Linked DNA regions of Drosophila melanogaster. The protein of the gene in region 1 interacts with the protein of each later gene in a pairwise test. Each region holds a gene or a part of one and is shown on either strand. Other genes may lie near its edges. The genes, in order: CG34168 and CG15126.

Evidence for each region.
Region 2: the proteins of CG34168 (region 1) and CG15126 interact in a two-hybrid assay, tested with the Drosophila melanogaster proteins (2 studies listed by BioGRID).

Annotation. Positions count from the first base shown.
Region 1 is NT_033779.5:16,133,948-16,137,244, reverse strand, and holds CG34168 (uncharacterized protein), read left to right. Parts: upstream 1-1,972; 5' UTR 1,973-2,083; intron 2,084-2,150; 5' UTR 2,151-2,156; coding exon 2,157-2,339; 3' UTR 2,340-2,531; downstream 2,532-3,297.
Region 2 is NT_033778.4:19,688,739-19,691,626, forward strand, and holds CG15126 (uncharacterized protein), read left to right. Parts: upstream 1-2,059; 5' UTR 2,060-2,106; coding exon 2,107-2,268; 3' UTR 2,269-2,340; downstream 2,341-2,888.

The DNA.
Region 1 (3,297 bases):
CACAACAGACTTCCTTTGAAGGTATTTTGCCAATTTATTAATCAGAAATCTATTTTTACTACCCGAAAATTTCCTTTGTTGTCGATAGTAATAATTATATTTTAAAGAGTACAGATTGTGTATTAAGTTTAATTTTTATTTATAAGTTACATAAATGAATAATTAATATTTTATGGTTTTAAATTAAATAAAGTTTTCTATTTGACTATGTAGAATCTATGTGAGCACTTGTAGCTTTCCTCATATGTATGTATATTTTAAAATTTATTGTGCAATTATGCATTATTAGTTATGATTAAACATTTTAATGGAGTTTTCTTCCGCTTTTAAGCTGTGAGTTACAAACAAATAAATCAAAAACATAAGAACGGAACCAAAAACTTATCGCTCCAAAACTTCCGCTGCACGGACGCTCATAAAATGGGGGACATTGAACTTCTGAGCGGGCTGAAAAAGGCATTGCTGAAAACTGTAAAAATACCAGCGAAGAAGCCGGAAAAAAACAGTGGAAAAAAGTCACATCAACACGAAACATTAAGCTTCACAGTCACAACATATTCGGCTCTTCGATGCATTTTCCTTAAAGTCGCCATGGAGTTCAAATCGAATGGGAGCGCACGCGCCTGCGAATATGCAATGCTGTAATACGAGACCAACACGCGATGGAGATGATGTTTGGTTACGGAAGGGGATACGGGAATTTTCCCGGGGTATTCGGGGTTCCGGAATCGGAACAGAAAATAAGCTCAACCAGACCCAAAAGGCCACCAAACGAACGGGCTATTTACGAAGGGCGGAAGTGCTTTAATTTAATGTTGGTAAAAGATAAGAAGTTAATCCGATCAAATTTTCTTGGCCTTTCCTTCATTTAATTCGATTAAGTAATAGATGAGATAGTGATGTTGGAAAATCGATGTACATGAGCTTTATAAGTAAATAAACTTGTAAAATGTACAGAATTCTTCATCCTTCAGAGTTTTTTTTACTTATTTTCTTAAACTCATAAAAATTAGGAACTTCGAGATGGATTAATTTACACTCAGCCTTACAGCTTATTTGGGTGAAAACGTGAAAAGTGTTGGGGTAATCGACTCAATTAGCTATTGCATAAGCACACTTTGCACACTCCCGCGCCAGCCAAACAAACACCAAACTCAATTAGATGCCATAACTAAATAATCACAAACACATTTACGCCAGCAAGAGCTCTTTTCAGTTGAAGCAGACCGGTTGGTAACCAAGAAACGTGGCAAAAAAAAAAGAAAAGAAAACAGAGAACCAGGTCAACAACAGAAACAACATGAGCAACAATTTTGAAACAATGAAATGACGACAACGACAGAAGCGGCAAGGCATGCCTGGAAAATTGCTTCCAAATGCTCAGAAGCCAGAGTGGAAATATGGGTAGAGTCGGAAAAGTGGGTGGCCTGGGTGGCTGGGGGACATTCCAACATGTGACGCACGTGACAAAACTTGTCAAGTGACTTTACTTCACTTTGACTGCGAATCCCGGCTCTGTTGTCCGTAAACAAGAAGACGGAATCCCGGCTGTGAAGAAAAATAGGTTTGTGTGCATTGCCCAACACAAAATGCTTAAGAAAACTCTGCTCTTGGTAAAACAATGAAAGGTGGGGCAAAGAGGAAAAATCAGTCGCGGCTTGGCTTTTCCGACTTGTTGCGCCTTCGGCTAAATTATGACATCGAGAGTTTTAGGGGAATGGGAAGTCCTTCGGGACGGACTGAAGTATTTTTGGAGGAGCAATGGAGTGGAATTTTATGGGACACACAAACAATCGGGAACGGTTTTATGAATTAAAATTCTTAAAGCGAATTAGATAAGAGGCTAAGAGGCTAACTGTATATATAGTTAATCAAATTTTAAAATTTGGAAAAAAGCATTTTAAAAGCAGGCCATGAAACCACAACATAGAAGGCCATGAAATCAAAGTTAAATCTGTAGAACTTTGTGGACCAAGCTAGTGGCTTTAGCTCATTATAGTTTCGGTTCTCCAACAGAAAACATCTATTTGTACGACTACCAAATTTCTAGGACTGAAAATCCTACTTCCGTAATCAGGCTAATGTGAGTGTGAACAACAAACGAATTTGTTTCTTGAAAATATCCTCGATTCGTTTCATTTCGTTTTCAGAATAAAATGTGCAATCCAGGAATGTGCTCGATGCCCGGCACTTGCTGTGGACCGACTGGCGGACTGGGACCCTGCCTGCTCTGCGGACCCTACAATGGCCAGTGGTTCCGTTCGGTCAACCACTGTTGCGGTCCTTGTGGCCCATATGGTTGCTGCTCATGCTACGGGCCGTATGGTGGACATTGTTAGCCTGCTTAGAAGGAATGTAGGGTTTCTTTATCCGCGATCTGGAACAGGAGCTTTAAAGATTGCAGCCGTGAGGCCTTGTCGAAGATGAGGAGCCACGCTGAAAAGTTGTCAGGCAAAGTGGATCCAAAGATTTGTGTTCGATGAAAGATTATGCCATCAGAAATAGATGTTAATAAATTATACGTATAATTCAAAAATAGACCACTTTAATTTCACTTCACATGTATTGCTATCAACAGTTAGCAAACCTAATTAAATATTTGGCATGCATTCTGTGGAAACAATCACAAAATTCCATCTCGTAATTTGCCGTTTTTGGTTTTCTTTTCAGTCCGCCGGGTGCATTTAAGGCTAAACCCCATTTGATTGTAAATATTTGGCTCGTTTACGGCTAACGATACATCGGGGACCAGCCAAAAAGACGTGTAATGCTAATGGGCCTGTTGAGTGCAAATTTGTTTACGAGTAAAACACCACTAAAACAGATGGGCTTGCTGATTGCTTTCAATTTTATTTAATCGAGGCACCCCGCATCAGATCGACCAGAAAAATTGATATCGTTAAACATAGTGAACAACAGAAACGGTAAGTTTAAAGAGTATATCATCGTGATACGGCTACTTGGTGCGTTTGAGTGCTTTGCTAAGACTGGGGAAATACTCGTCACTGTTGAGATCAGGAGCTTGAGGTTTTCCGGACATCTTGGATGGAACCTTACGCAGACGGCTCTCAGCCTGATCCCGTCGATTGAAGTCACCTTGGCTCTGGCGGAGAGCAGGTGGTATGTAGATTTGGCTCTTTACCTCGGACGGTTCTTTCTTATTCGGTTGCTCCACAGACATCGGCTCCTTTAGCTTCTGCTGCTCCAGTGCGTGCTCCATTTTCACCCAGGGACAAGTGGTATTGCCGATGTCATCATCATGTTTCTGACCCACGTTCATGCCATCGCCACCTGTAT
Region 2 (2,888 bases), on another chromosome or scaffold:
TCTAATGTGTAATAAATTTAAACAGCGAAATCATGCAAAAAGCAAAGGCAGGTCCTGTGGCTTAGCTCACGCACAGGACTCCTTTTCTAATTTTTTTTTCTACTTTTTTTTCCTCGACAATGACTACACTTTAGCGGCAAATTTGTGCGCATTGTCGCCGTATTATTTGCTATTATTTATGCCTTTTCCACTATTTACTTCCTTTCTTAGCGCCCGCCACGCTATTTTCAGGGGGAGGTATGCAAAAGTGGCCACTCCTTGGCCAAAGGAATAAAACCCACACATTTACAGCCGCGATCAGTTTAATAGTAGTTTTTATAATAGTTAAAAAAAAACCAAAAAAAAAGTATAACGCGAATATGAACCACAATTAAAAAGTTATTAAGTATTATGAAATGTATTGTAGCCAAAAATAACTAACAAAACAAAACTAATAAATACCATAAGTCTTAGGGTAAAAACCGAACCATTTTGTTTACAAAACATATTATATAGATCTAGCACTATTTATGTAACCGCAACTGTATCCACATATAGAACAGACGGGAAAATACACTGGGAAAACCGCAGGCAATCATGGCTGGCTGACACTTATGGCGTGCTAAGCATTTGCGCTCGGAGAGGCTCGCGTGGATTTTAAACATTTTCACACAACATTCTCATATTTAGACGTCGCCCATCAGCCAGTGGAAATTCGCCTGCCGGTGTGTGGGTTTTGCCTTTTGCCAACCCGGCGATAATGTAAGCTCCTTTAAGCCCGAAATAAAGAACGCGAAAAGCGGACGCGAATGCGACCGCACCAACAACATGCAACGGCACACGCGACCCCAAACGAAAATCTGTGAAATGTAATTGTTACCATGAAAGCAGGGCCAACTCCCCTTCACCGTTCCATTTGGCAAGGGAAACCCCCTTTTGAGGGCATTTTAAGTAAGTTTCGCAGTTTGATAATCGCCGGGCCTCAGCCGCCAACGCTGATATACAAATTGGCTTTTGCAATGACTTTATATATTTTACGAGTTGCGGTCCTTTTTTCGAGTAAGCGTCCTTTCGTCCTTCAGTCCTTTAGCCGTTTTCCGTTTCGCATGTGAGCAGCCCTGGGATGCGATTATAAGGGAAAACTGATGCAGATAAAATTAATTGAATTCAAAAAGCCAAGCCATTGGTCTTGCTCCATCCGTTTTCTTGCCGAATGTGCCTGCACTTGGCTTGGCGAATTTTCGCCATACTTTTCTGGGTCATGTCATGGGGAAAGTAAATAGTTACATGGCCACGGCTGCCTTTTCTTTATCAGGAATTAAAATCAAGTTGCTCCACTCGCATGAACTATATATGCACTATAGCAATCTCAATGGCAAATTGACAAAATCAGATTGGTGGAAAGTTCGTATTCTACAATTATTAAGTACTATTGCCTTCATTGGCAAGGGCAGTAAATAAAGTACAAATGGAGTTTCGGTTTCAGAAGAAAGCCAATAAGTCGTGTATTCTAAGAACATTCGAATTCGTATTTGAATTTCCATAGAATAATGTTGATCGATTGGGCGGTCTTATAAGCACATAATTCCGCAAAATTTGAAAGCCATTATCTTATCGATTTACCAACAAACCTTTTAGAAAATCGGAAATACCTTGGAATAGATTACCAATGAAAGTTACATTTGTTATCTCTTGGGTTATGTTATTTTGAATTATTATTAAATTTTAAGTGTACAATAGAGAAAATGCACATTTCACAAAGTCCCAGCGGTAGTGTACTTTTTATAATTTTGGAAGCTTAATCTTATCACTTAAAAACTAGAAGCAAAAAAAAATTGTACATATGGCTATCTCAGAAGGAGACCTTAGAGGGGTTTTCCTCATTTTATTTGTCATGACTAATTCAGCATTTACAAGGCCTTACTCATCGCCATGGTCATCATAATATTCCCATGTTTGTGCTAACTAACACTTCTATCGATTAGCAAGCAATACTATACAGATTAGATAGTACTTATCTTTATGAGGCAGGTCTTGATTAGATTTACCCTGACAATATGGATTTAGTTGCCTATAAGAGTTGGACCCAACCGCACGGTTTTCAAAGTTTGCAAAAATATCTGAATAATGCCACCACCACACGGAGGACCCGGAGGCCATGGACATGGAGGACCGCATCATGGCGGACCCCCGCATCATGGAGGCCACCATGGACCGCCACATCACCATGGACCGCCCCATCATCACCACGGACCTCGTCCCTGCTGCCTTTGCTGCACAATTTCATAAGAATTTATAAAGGAATTTATTAAAGATTGTAGTTTTAAGAACCCTCACGTAATAAATACGAATGCCCCGAAGGAGTTCTGTAACTGTGTATGTGTTTAAGGTTAATAAGACGCCTAATTAGTGTAATCGAGTGCCTCGAGTGCTAAGCAATTAATGGCTGGCTAATCATTATGTGTCACCTCAAAACGCTTTAAAACCTCAAAAGCCGCTGCCATAATACAAGTGTACCAATGGTATCTGTGTGTTTTGTTGCGTGTCGGGAATGCGTGTGTGTGTGTGTGTGTGTGCGTATTTGAGGGGGAGTGGATGGATGTGGTTGGAGGTGGAGATCCTGTAGCCATACACACACGCACTTCACATTTAAGGTCGGACTGGTCGGTGGCTCTAATTTATAGCAGCCAAGTGGATGCCGAAGACCAGAAGACATACAAGTGCCATAAATTCTGGCAAAGGAACACATTATTTATACTGTCAACCGGTCCATATTTCGGATGGGAAATACTACGGCCTAACCATAAATAAGTGCATTGCCTTTGCTGTGCTGCGAAATAAGTCTTCATTAGCGGTTAAAAGGCTGACTGGTTGACCCACAAAGGACTTCTTAACGCTACGAAATCGGT